3 linked regions of the Macaca fascicularis genome follow. The protein of the gene in region 1 interacts with the protein of each later gene in a biochemical or structural test. Links are inferred from orthologs where the notes say so. Each region holds a gene or a part of one and is shown in the gene's direction. Other genes may lie near its edges.

Evidence for each region. The genes of interacting proteins can lie anywhere in the genome.
Region 2: the proteins of STX4 (region 1) and SNAP23 form a complex in vitro, tested with the Homo sapiens proteins (4 studies listed by BioGRID). The link is inferred for Macaca fascicularis from reciprocal best matches to the Homo sapiens genes STX4 and SNAP23.
Region 3: the proteins of STX4 (region 1) and SNAP25 form a complex in vitro, tested with the Homo sapiens proteins (3 studies listed by BioGRID). The link is inferred for Macaca fascicularis from reciprocal best matches to the Homo sapiens genes STX4 and SNAP25.

What each region holds. Positions count from the first base shown.
Region 1 is NC_088394.1:29,214,241-29,218,394, forward strand, and holds the start of STX4 (syntaxin-4), read left to right. Parts: upstream 1-1,354; 5' UTR 1,355-1,612; coding exon 1,613-1,642; intron 1,643-1,819; coding exon 1,820-1,921; intron 1,922-2,010; coding exon of another isoform or gene 2,011-2,032; coding exon 2,033-2,132; intron 2,133-2,268; coding exon 2,269-2,343; intron 2,344-2,780; coding exon 2,781-2,851; intron 2,852-4,154. UniProt on the Homo sapiens protein: Plasma membrane t-SNARE that mediates docking of transport vesicles. Necessary for the translocation of SLC2A4 from intracellular vesicles to the plasma membrane.
Region 2 is NC_088381.1:19,102,884-19,107,011, forward strand, and holds the start of SNAP23 (synaptosomal-associated protein 23), read left to right. Parts: upstream 1-1,328; 5' UTR 1,329-1,388; exon of another isoform or gene 1,389-1,439; intron 1,440-4,128. UniProt on the Homo sapiens protein: Essential component of the high affinity receptor for the general membrane fusion machinery and an important regulator of transport vesicle docking and fusion.
Region 3 is NC_088384.1:77,140,275-77,144,279, reverse strand, and holds the start of SNAP25 (synaptosomal-associated protein 25), read left to right. Parts: upstream 1-1,205; 5' UTR 1,206-1,562; intron 1,563-1,570; exon of another isoform or gene 1,571-1,852; intron 1,853-4,005.

The sequences.
Region 1 (4,154 bases):
TGCTGAGACTTACTAAATGACCTTGGGGACTCCTTCTAGAGAATTTAAGTTCCACGAGTGCAGGAATTTTTATCTATTAGTCCTTGATGTATCTCCAGCCCTAGAACAGTGTTTGGCCCATAGTATGTGCCCAAAAATATCCATTAAATGAATGTTCTGTGCATGGTGGTGCATGCCTGTAATCCCAGCAGTTTGGGAGGCTGAGGCAGGAGGATTGCTTGAGCCCAGGAGTTAGAGACCAGCTTGGACAACATAGTGAGACCCCATCTTGTAAAAATTTTTAAAAATAAAAAATGAGTGAATATCTCGATAGCCAGGATTAGAGAAGTGTCACAGTCAGAAAGACTGAAGCCTAAAGAAGGCCAAGGAACCAGGGTCTTCATCCTCAGATACATGAAAGGCTAAGATTCTGTCCACAAGTATTTATAGAGGGCCCGTAATGTGCTTGGTACTGAGCTAGGAACTCCCCAGATTCAGTTAAGAACAAAGTCATTACCTGCCTCAGATGCAAGGCAGGGTCTGGGGGGTGTGAGTGGCAGGGAAGGCAGCGTGCAGAGACACTTTTCTTAGCCTGAGCTGCCCTGACATGGTCTGACAGCCCACAAGGTGGTGAGTGCAGCCGGGCTGTAGTGTTCAAGGAGGGCGCCGGCTGGCTGCCCACCTGTCAGAGGCTGCGCCAGGAGGATGCGGAAGAAGAGGTTTCTGCCTTGGCTGAGGTCACTTTCCACCCCTAGATTCCCTGCCCACACAACCCTGCAATTTTCTGACGCTGACGACTCGGATCCTATTATTTCCCGATTTTCAAGGTCCCATGATGCTGACAGCCCCAAATGCTAAGTCGTCAGTCCGCCCACGCCCCTGGACCCGAAAGCAATAAAGGCGAAGTCAGCAAGGGTCCTACCACCCACTGCCTCGAAAGGCCTCTGGGAGTGGTGGGCGCGCCCCTCCCCACCTCGCGGGGGCCGTGTGGGCGTCGTTCGGTGGTCGGAGTGCCGGGGACGTCGTGATGAAAACAGCGTCCCAGAGACGGCGCTGACCGAGCCGGGACACGTGACAGTCACAGCGTCACATTCTGCGGTCCACGAGTTTGGGACCGGGTTGCTCACGTGACGCGGTGGGGGCACCATGGGGTGATATGAGATGCGGGTGCCTCAGATTACGTACAAATGACGTATTCCTACCCCTTTTGGCAACCAGATTTCCGTTGGAAGATGCAACGGTTCCGGTGACGGTAGCCAGTTCTCGCGTCCACGCAGCTCCGCTTCCGCTCGGGGCGCAATAACTTCCGACTCCACCTTCCGCGCCTCGGGCGAGGAAGAGACGCGACCATATGCGCATGCCCCGAATTTATCACGGAGGGGCGGGGCTGAGGCTGCGGGAGCTGGAGGGGGGAAGAAAAGGGAATTCCAACCTGTGGAACCTTGGGGGGTCCCCGGGGTCGGCGCCTTCCCATTGACTGTGGGCGGTGCAAGGGACGGAGGCTCTGGTGGCTCGTGGGGGTGTTGGGGTCCACAGGGGGAGGGAGGGGAGTGTCAGAGTGTGAGTGGGGTACGGGTATTCCAAGTTTGCCGGCCTCCCGGTCTGACGCCGGGGAGGGAGAGCTCAGGCCGCCATGCGGGACAGGACCCACGAGCTGAGGCAGGTGAGACGCCAGGGCAGCGGGGATGGGGGCGCGCGGACGAACTGGAACGCAGGACTCCTGGTCTTCGGGGTAGGGAGGGGTGGCTGATGGCCAGGAAGGAAAGTCCCGGAAGCCTGTGGGTCCTGCGGGGTGACAGCCGCAGCGAAACAGTGGTGCCAATGACTCCGGGCCTGGCAGGGGGATGACAGCTCGGACGAAGAGGACAAGGAGCGAGTCGCGCTGGTGGTGCACCCGGGCACGGCACGGCTGGGGAGCCCGGACGAGGAGTTCTTCCAGAAGGTAAGGGGATGGAGTCTTGGCCTGGATTCGCGAGGGGGTAGGAGGACCCGAGGAGCAGCGTGGTCTGGAGTACCCCATATCTCTTTCAGCCCTCTCGGTCACCCTCCCCAGGTCCGGACAATTCGGCAGACTATTGTCAAGCTGGGGAATAAAGTCCAGGAGTTGGAGAAACAGCAGGTCACCATCCTGGCCACGCCCCTTCCTGAGGAGAGTGAGTGAAACCCCGGCTGCATAGCGCATGCTCCGCCCCAGGGATTGTGGGGGTTGTAGTTCCACGCAGGTGGTGGCCAGGGTGGTTTGTTGAGGTGGGGGCTGCTGTTTGGGAGTCGTGGCCTTCTCTTATTCAGGCATGAAGCAGGAGCTGCAGAACCTGCGCGACGAGATCAAACAGCTGGGGAGGGAGATCCGCCTGCAGCTGAAGGGTGAGCTACTGGGACCTCAGGCAGATCCTTCCCTCTGATCCTGCCCTGTTGTTGGTATATCTGGGGAGTGTGTGGCCCAGAGAAGCCAGTGATATATCCAGGTCACACAGCAGGCCTGGTTCTAGCATCTCTGTCTTCTGGCCTCCAGGCCATTGTACTCTCCACAGCACAAGGCAGTCTCTCAGGTTCTTTTATTTACAATGAAACCATTTACTTACACAGTTATCACTGCCCACTGGGGCATTCTTTGGGCAGGGAGATGGGGTTTTGTTAGGTGGCCTCTGCATTCGTACGGGAACTCAAGTGATGTAATGCAAAGAAAAATAAACTTACTTTCTCCTCTTGGAGGCTCAGCCTTAGTCATTTTATGATAAATTATATTTCCCTAAAAATCCTATGGAGACAAGTACCCCCAATACCCCTGTGTCTTCCCACAGCCATAGAGCCCCAGAAGGAGGAAGCTGATGAGAACTATAACTCCATCAACACAAGAATGAGAAAAACCCAGGTGGGTTTTTTTTCTCAGAAATGACATTTCAGCAAATGTTTCATGAAGTAGTAGATGACAGATGTATGAAGGAAGGGCCTGTAGAGGTCATGGAGTCCAATTGGATGATTTTTCCAAGTGGGGAACCTGAGCTCAGAGAGAGAAAGAACTTGCTCAAGGTCAGGAAACCAGGTCTCCTGATGCTCAGTCCGGTTATAACACCCTGCTTTATTTTCTTCCATTCAATAAGAAGTTACTTATTGACCCCAGACAAGACCTAGGCTTGACTGTGGGACACGTTTTCTTTTCTTTTTGCCTCAGCCTCCTGAATAGCTGGGATTACAGGCGGACACCACCATGCCGAGTTAATTTTTGTATTTTTAGTAGAGACGGGGTTTCCCCATGTTGGCCAGGCTGGTCTCGAACTCCTGACCTCAGGTGACCCTCCTGCCTTGGCCTCCCAAAGTGCTGGAATTACAGGCGTGAGCCACTGCGCCCAGCTGGGACACGTGTTTTCTAGGAGTCAACATGAGGAGTTAGGGTTCAATAGGGGATAAAGACATTACTCACGTGGGATCTGGTGGCTAATGGCGCTGCCCAGGGAAGGAGAGTGAGAAGTCACAAATTGACTGGCAGGTTTGCTATCTGTGTGACAGGGACATCCTTAGTCCCACAGGTGGAATTCAAGAAGTCAGGAAGTGGAACTTCCCTGGGGCGACACTGAAGAGGAACTCCCCTGGTGTAATATCTTTTTTTAAAAAATTATTATTATTTTTTTGAGATGGAGTCTCTCTCTGTCGCCCAGGCTGGAGTACAGTGGCACAGTCTTGGCTGACTGCAACCTCCACCTCCTTCAAGCGATAATCCTCCCTCAGCCTCACAAGTAGCTGGGATTACAGGCGTACACCACCACACCTGGCTAGTTTTTTATATTTTTGGTAGAAATGAGGTTTCACCATGTTGGCCAGGCTGGTCTTGAACTCCTGACCTCAAGTCCTCAAGTGATCCACCTGCTTTGGCCTCCCAAAGTGCTATGATTACAGGCATGAGCCACCGTGCACGGCCCCTGGGGTGATATCTTAGTAAGGAGATTTGCAGTGATCTGACTGGCCCTCTTTGTGTCCCCAGTGAGGAGGATACCAAGAGGTCAGGGTTGGAGTAGTTGAGCCCAGGGCTCAGCAAGGACCCCAGATTGAAGATGAAACAGCTTGGGCATCTTGGAAGGGTGCAGCTGGAACCAGGAGAGCAGATGTATCTCTGGAAAAGGAACTCCAAGGAATGAGCATATTTAAGGTCTCAGGAGAAGGGGCAAGGCAGAGCAGAT
Region 2 (4,128 bases), on another chromosome or scaffold:
TATAAAAATACAAAATTTATATATATATATATATATATATATATTTTTTTTTTTTTTTTTTTTTGAGACAGAGTCTTGCTCTATCGCCCAGGCTGGAGTGCAGTGGCTCGAGCTCGGCTCACTGCAAGCTCCGCCTCCTGGGTTCAGGCCATTCTCCTGCCTCAGCCTCCCGAGTTGCTGTGACTACAGGCGCCCGCCACCACGCCACCACGCCCGGCTAATTTTTTTGTATTTTTAGTAGAGACGGGGTTTCACCGTGTTAAGCAGGATGGTCTCGATCTCCTGACCTCGCGATCCGCCCGCCTCGGCCTCCCAAAGTGCTGGGATTACAGGCGTGAGCCACCACGCCCGGCCATATTTTGTATTTTTAGTAGAGACGGGGGTTTCTCTATTTTTGCTAGGCTGGTCTCGAACTCCTGACCTCGTGATCTGCCCGCTTCAGCCTCCCAAAGTGCTGGGATTGATTACAGGTGTGAGCCACTGTGCCTGGTGAAGCACTTTATTTTCTTGATTTCCAGCAGTTTGTTTTATTCTTAGAGGTGCATGGAAGGGTTCCTGCAGCAAATAGTTTACAATAATCATCCATCTGCTTAAAACTCTTCAATAGTTTTCAGTGCCCATAGTACAAAGTGGTCTAAAATTCCAAGGCCTTCCAAAATCTAGCGATTGTCGGCCTTCTAAAGCTTTCTTCCCTCTACACTCTGGGATGTACGATTAGCTCTAAGCCTCTTACAAGGATGAACTACTAGAAATTTCCAGAAGGCGTTATGCTGTTCTCGACATAAGCTGTTTCCCAGAGCCTGGAAAACTCTAGCTCTTTCTCTGCCGGATTTCCGGGGGAACTCCTACTTATCCTTCAGGACTCAAGTCACTTCCTCCGGGAACCCTTCCAGACACCCCTAAGAATAAAACGCTTTGTTCATTATCAGCCAAAGGCGCCTCAGATTTTCTATGTGCTATGCACTGTATTCTATTCACTATAAATTTGTTTACATATCTATATCTTAGTCTAGACATATTGAAAGACGCTGAAGGGCAGGGAAAGCATTCTATTCGCTTTCTTTTCTTCATCGTTCATCCAGCACAGTGCCTGGCACACGGTTTGCCCTCCGTAAATGTTTATTGCATGAACACCTCCCAGCTTCGGGCATGACCGGAATCTATCCGGTTAACTGGTGAATTCCCAGACTCTCCGCCTGCGTGGCAGGGACATTTAAACCCCCAGCACCGTGATTGGCTCCAGCTGAAGGGGTGTGTCCGTGTCCTCGGCGCACGGGATGTGCGCAGGCGCGCGGGCTCGGCGCGCGCAGGCGCGACTAGGGCGCCGCGCCAGGTCCGGTGTTGGGGTGTCCGAGCTGCGGCTGGAGAGGAGTGGCCTTACCCGCTTGGTGAGTCTCCAGGAGTGGGACGGAGGGAGCTGACCGGGATGAAGTCGGAGAGTATGTCCTGAGAAGAAAGAGTATATCGTATTGGTTGAAAAGTTGGTGGGGTCGGGCTTAAGCGGAGGAGGGGGCGCTCTGGCCCTTACTGGGCAAATGGGCCCGGAGCGAGGACGGGAGGTGCCGTGAGAACATCGAGGGGCCAGTGGAGGAAGGTGGCTGGATGGTGATTCTCTGGACCCTTCCTCGAAATTAAACAGAGATCACCTCCCGTCCCTCACCCCCACTGTGTTGCTGTGGTTGACATTAATAGACTGCATGTCTGGTGACCACGGTGACCAGATAGCTCTGAGATAATGGCTTGAGGAAGGACTCTCAGGTTCCTGGTATTGGATAGCACTTTCTCTGTAGAAAGGTTCAGCCTTACCTCGCGGCACAAATTAGAGGATCAGGAAAAGAATGAATTCCACAATTCGGGATTGTAGTGGTGGGGGGAAAAAGTACTGTAAAGTGCAGTTTCATCTCGTCCTTTTTTTCTTCTTTAATCATTAGTCACCACAATGTTAGGAAAGGCAGTTGATGGTAGGAGAAAACGTAAAGACATAAAAGTAGGGGAGAAAAAAAGTCAAGAAGGGAGTATCACTTTGCCTTTTGCTATTTGTCATCTCCTGGAATGGAGTCTGTATTAGACCGATCTCACACTGCTATAAAGAAGTACCCGAGGCCGGGCTTGGTGGCTCATGCCTGTAATCCCAGCACTTTGGGAGGCCCAGGTGGGAAGATCACTTGAGATCAGGAGTTCGAGACCAGCCTGGCCAACATGATGAACTCCCATCTCTACTAAAAATACAAAAATTAGCCAGGCATGGTGGCATATGCTTGTAATCCCAGCTACTCCGGAGGTTGAGGCAGGAGAATTCCCTGAACCTGGGAAGCAGAGTTTGCAGTCAACTGAGATCATGCCACTGTGCTCCAGCCTGGGAGGCAGAGTCAGACTCCATCTCCAAAAGAAAAAGAAAAAGAAATACCTGAGACTGGGTAATTGATAAAGGAAAGACGTTTAATTGACTCTCAGTTCTGCATGGCTGGGGAGGCCTCAAGAAACTTATAATCGTGGTGGAAGGCAAAGGAGAAGCCAAGTACCTTCTTCACAAGATGGCAGGAGAGACAGAGTGAAGGGGAAAGAGCCCCTTATAAAACCAGTATCATGAGAACAGCATGGGGGAAACCACCTCCATAATTTAATCACCTCCCACCAGATTCGAGATGAGGTTATGGGTAGCCAAACCATATCATTCTGCCCCTGGCCCCTTTCTTTCTTTCTTTCTTTCTTTTTTTTTTTTTTTTTTTGAGACAGAGTCACCCAGGCTGGAGCGCAGTGGCGCTATGTCGGCTCACTACAACCTCCAACACTTCAGCCATCCTCCTGCCTCACCCTCCTGAATAGAGACTACAGATGCATTCCACCAAACCTGCCTTTTTTTTTTTTTTTTTTTTTTTTTTTGAGATGGGGTCTTGCTCTGTTGCTCAGATTGGAGTGCAGTGGCATGATCTCCGCTCACTGCAACCTCCATCTCCCAGGGTCAAGCAGTTCTCCTGCATCAGCCTCCCAAGTAGCTGGGATTACAGGCGCCTGCCACCACACCTGGCTAATTTTTGTATTTTTAGTAGAGATGGGGTTTGGCCATGTTGGCCAGGCTGGTCTTGAACTCCCGACCTCAGGTTATCCACTGGCTTCCACCTCCCAAAGTGCTGGGATTACAGGCGTGAGCCACCGCACCTGGCTAATTTTTGTATTTTTTAGTAGAGACGGGATTTCACTATATTGGCCAGGCTGGTCTTGAACTCCTGACCTCATGATCCACCCGCCTCGTCCTCCCAAGGTTCTGGGATTACAGACGTGAGCCACCACTCCCGGCTCCCCTGGCCCTTTTCTAATCTCATGTCCTCACAGTTCAAAACACAATCATGCCTTCCCAACAGGCCTCCAAAGTCTTAACTCATTCCAGTATTAACCCAAAAGTCCAAGTCCAAAGTCTCATCTGAGACAAGGCAAGTCCCTTTTGCCTAGGAGCCTGTAAAATCAAAAGCAAGTTAGTTACTTCTAAGATGCTATGGGGGAATAGGCATTGGTAAATGCTCCCATTCCAAATGGGAGAAATTGGACAAAACAAAGGGGTTACTGGCCCTATACAAGTCCAAAATCCAGTGGGACAGTCATTCCATCTTAAAGCTTATTTTAATCTCCTTTGACTCCATGTCTCACATCCAGGGCATGCTGATGCAAAGAGTGGGCTCCCAAGGGCTTGAGCAGTTCCGACCCTGTGGCTTTGCAGGGTTCAGGCCCAGAGGCTGCTCTCCTAGGCTGGCATTCAGTGCCTGCGGCTTTTCCAGGTGTATGGTGCAAGCTGTTTGTAGACCTGCCATTCTGGAGTCTGGAGGATGGTGGCCATCTTCTCACAGCTCCACTAGGCAGTGCCCCAGTGGGGACTCTGGGGGGGCTCCAACCCCATGTTTCCTTTCTGCAACACCCTAGCAGAGGTTCTCCTTGAGGTCTCTTCCCCTGCAGCAGACTTTGGCCTGGACATCCAGGGATTTCCATACATCTTCTGAAATCTAGACAGAGGTTCCCAAACCTCAATTCTTGACTTCTGTGCACCTGCAGCCCCAGCATCACGTGCAAGCTACCAAGGTTTTGGGGCTTGCAGCCTCTGAAGCAACAGCCCAAGCTGTACCTTGGTCCCTTTTA
Region 3 (4,005 bases), on another chromosome or scaffold:
TGCCACCGCCGAGCGATCCGCGCACCACCCCCTCCCCAGGCCCGTGCACGGCCAGGGAGGACAGTTAGGATTGTTGCTTTATAATTATCACTTTTAATCTCTAATATGATCAGCACAAGTAGCCTTTGTCTCCCCGCCCTGATTTGAGCATCCTAGGGCCCCCTGAGGCAGCCTGCACGGGTACCCGGGGTTTGCGCATTGAGTGAACCACCAGATTCGGCAGCGTCCCAGCCGTCCTTGCTCTGAAGCCCCCACCTCCTCCTGGCCGTTTGGACAGTTCCCTCGGGGCGTCCGTGCCTCTGTGGGGTACCCCTAAGACACCCAGCACGAAACCCCAGCGCCGACTGCAAATTCCACCCAAAGCAGCGTCATCCGTTTTTGCCCTCGGCAAACAACTCAACTTCAAGCCTCGAGTCCTCGCAAACCCACGCTGGCTGGGCTAACTCCGCTTCCCTTCTCCTTCCCCCGACTCCTGCAACAGCTCAGAGAGCCTGGCTCTGACGTACTTCAAAATAACGTGCGCCAGCCTCGCTCCCCGGCTGACCACAGCAACGAGAGCTGCAAGCCCTCGGCGCTGCTTCGATAACATGAAGCAATCACTCATAAAAATAGCAACCCACGTAGCCTGGCCATATATGGAACTGGCGAGGGTGGACGGGGATGCCCCTCCGGACCCTCTTTGGAGAAAACAAATCGCCGCAGAAATTTCCCCCACCCCTCCCATCACTACCTTTTACCCCCCTCTGCCTTCCCCTCTCCTTAGATGACTCAATCACCGATTCCACTGAAAGGGGGTGGGGGTGGGGGTGGGGGGAAAATATACACACACACACAAATTATACATATATTATACATGTATTATAAAATATATACACACATACATATATATACACGCACATATGTACACACACACACACACACCAAAGAACATCAAGAATGCAGTTGCGGGATGAACGCTTTTGCCCGAGACCGAGTGTTAAAATGGAGTCATAAGAGTCGCCCCTTTTGGGTGTTTATAGGAGGTGAAAACACGGAGGTTTGCAGGGCAGCGCCGGGGAGCCGAGTCAAGCGCGCCGCAGCCCGGGCCCCGCCTCCGCCCCCGCCGGAGCCCCGCCCCCACTTCCTCCCGCCCCTCGCCGGGCGGCTATTAAAAGCTGCTGACGTCAAAACGGACGGCCATCTTTGATGAGGGCAGAGCTCACGTTGCATTGAAGACGAAACCTCGGGGAGGTCAGGCGCTGTCTTTCCTTCCCTCCCTGCTCGGCGGCTCCTCCACACTTGCAACCTGCAGAGGCCCGGAGAACACAACCCTCCCGAGAAGCCCAGGTAAGGAGCCCCCTCCCCAGGTCGTGGTTCTGGCTCGGGATGGCTGCATACCCAGAAGGGACAGCAGCTGGGCATTCCGAGTGGGCTTGGGTAAATACAAGTATTGGTGCACTTAGGGTGCGGTATTCCGTGTGTGCACGTCTGGTGGGGGCTTTATAAAGTGTTTTCGAGGTGAACTGCTGGGGGAAGGGGAAACGGGAGCCCTGCAAATGGAGCGACGGGAAGGAAGAGCGAGGGTACGTACCGAATAATAACTTACTCTTTTGAAACAGTAGTGGGACCCCCTCTTTCTTCCATTTTGCGATGCAGTTTTCAGAGATATTTAGGCTGTTGGGTTCCCCCCCGTCGTTCTAACCCTATTATTTTGACTGTTGTCGTTAGGGTACTATTATCCAGGGAAGAATTAAGGAGGAGGCAGGGTGTGGGTGCTGGGGAAGCGAAAGGAGAAAGGGGGAGTTCCCGCCCCGGGCAAGCTGAGCTGCTGCAGCGACAGCAGCCTCCATGCCCCGCAGACTTGATTTATGCCGCCTGCTCCACGTCAACTGCAGGCTGGCGGGAGGCGGGCGGGTCGTGCCAGGTGGGAGGGCTCTGCGGAGGGCTGGCGCGGGTGGGCTGGCTTCGGGGACTGCGGCGGCCCGCGCTCAGCACCCTGGATAGCAATACCGAGGGCTCGCGCGGGCGCCCTCGACCTTTCAGCACCGGGGACAGCGGTCCGGCCGCAGCGCCGCATCTGCCTGCGGCAGAAATGCCTGGCCAGGGCTGGATGTGCGAGGGCTGGAGACCAAATTGTCTCTCTGAGACCCTGGTCTTACGGGGACCCTTAATAGAGGAGTCATAGTAGGTTAAAAGAAAACAAGAAAGAAATAAATCTTGCTCACAGAGACTCCTTTACAGACAATTTCCTGTTTCCCCTCCTCACCTCCTGCATAGCTTCAACAAAATAATAGTCTACTTGTGGAAATCTATGTTGCCCTCTGACCCTTATTTTAGGTAGAAAATAAATACATTTTTTAAAAAAATAGGCATTTATCCTTCAGCAGGGTATCAAGATTTTTGTTTGGTTTTGTTTTTTAACACAGAGTAGATCTGTCTACAGATCTTGGGTGAGTGTGAGTACTGTATATACAAAGAAGCCAATGCTATCTGTTTATAGGGATGATACATCTCTATGTTTCCATTTGATAGAAATGTGAGATTAGCTTAACTAAGCAGAATCAACTTTAAGAATGAATCACTGTTCCTTTTCCTTCTTCCCCCATCCTTGCAATCAGGCATGAACACAAGTATTCATCCACAAAAACACATATCTGAGAAATTTTGCTTGTCCTGTACTGAATAGATTTAATCTCTTTGGCCATGGTTTCTGAATTACTGGAAGTATTTCCTATCAGCACTGGTTATCACAGGCTGATAGCTTTAGATTTTGACAACATTAAGACTGGTCTTCCTCAGGAGAATCGAAGTGTGTCCTTCAGGGGAACGCAGGTAAAGAACCATGGTGTTAAACTAGAACTGAACTCTGACCTAAAGATCTACTGCAATTTCTCTTATGGCACTGCGGGATTTTGCTGAGGTGGTGATAACTACTTTAACCATTTTCTACTCTGAGGCTTGGAGTATCTGAGAGAGCAAAAGTCATCAGTGATATTTCTCTCTGTTTGATATAGATAAAACTGGCATAAAAATGACCAGTGTCAAAATTATGCCATTTGAGTAGTTAGCAAAAAAGAGTAACAGTGTCATTGTAATAATCTATACAACACATTAAAGAAACGCTATCATGATCCCCTTAAAAGACCCCAAATGAGACCTTGGATTGTGTTCAAATAGTCATACCTCCTATCATCCGTATGCTACAGATACTAAAATTTCCTGTCCATATACAGAAGGTGATTTCATTCCCAGCTATTTAATTATTTCCTAGTGTTTTTTTTTTTATAGATGACTATGTGTTTCCATGTCTGTATATATTGATCTGTTATTGTGCATGGATGTAAAATTATTTGGATGGACATTTATATAAGAGTATGTAAATGTATAAGAGAAGTTTATAACTTTGCAATCTGCAGACAAAAATAAACAACTGTGTTTTAGTGGTAGAGGAGAGAAAATATGGGTAGGAATTTTTTAAAATGCTTTAACTTCATGCTGCATGTCCAGACAGCTGTCTGCGTAGTTGCGTCAAATGAAAAGCCTAATGCTGCCGGAATTACGTGCTTGGACATTAGTAATTACTGCTGGGTTTGTTTGCTAGTGGAAGACTGGGGAGGAGCGGGGGAAGTAGAGGACTGCAGTGAAGATGTCAAAGGGCACAGAGCTGAGAGAAAGAAGCAATGTGCACAATTAGAAAGCTAATTTTAGAATAACTTACTGAGAAATTTCAAAAAATATATCATTGAACCATGAATTTAATATTTATATCATTGACAGCTTCTGGGGAAAAAATTGAGAAATTTCCTATTTTAAGTTTGAATTTTTAAAATCCAGGGCAATGCGGTGAGAAGAGGCAGGAGCAGATGGACATAGGATGAGCCAGGAGTCATTCACACAGACCCTCTGATGCCTGTTTGTTCATCGATATTTACTGCATTACCACCTCAGTGTTCAAATTACAGAATAATTGACAATCCTCTTAACCTCTTCATGGCAGAATCTCCCAAGAATTCACAATTTTATTTT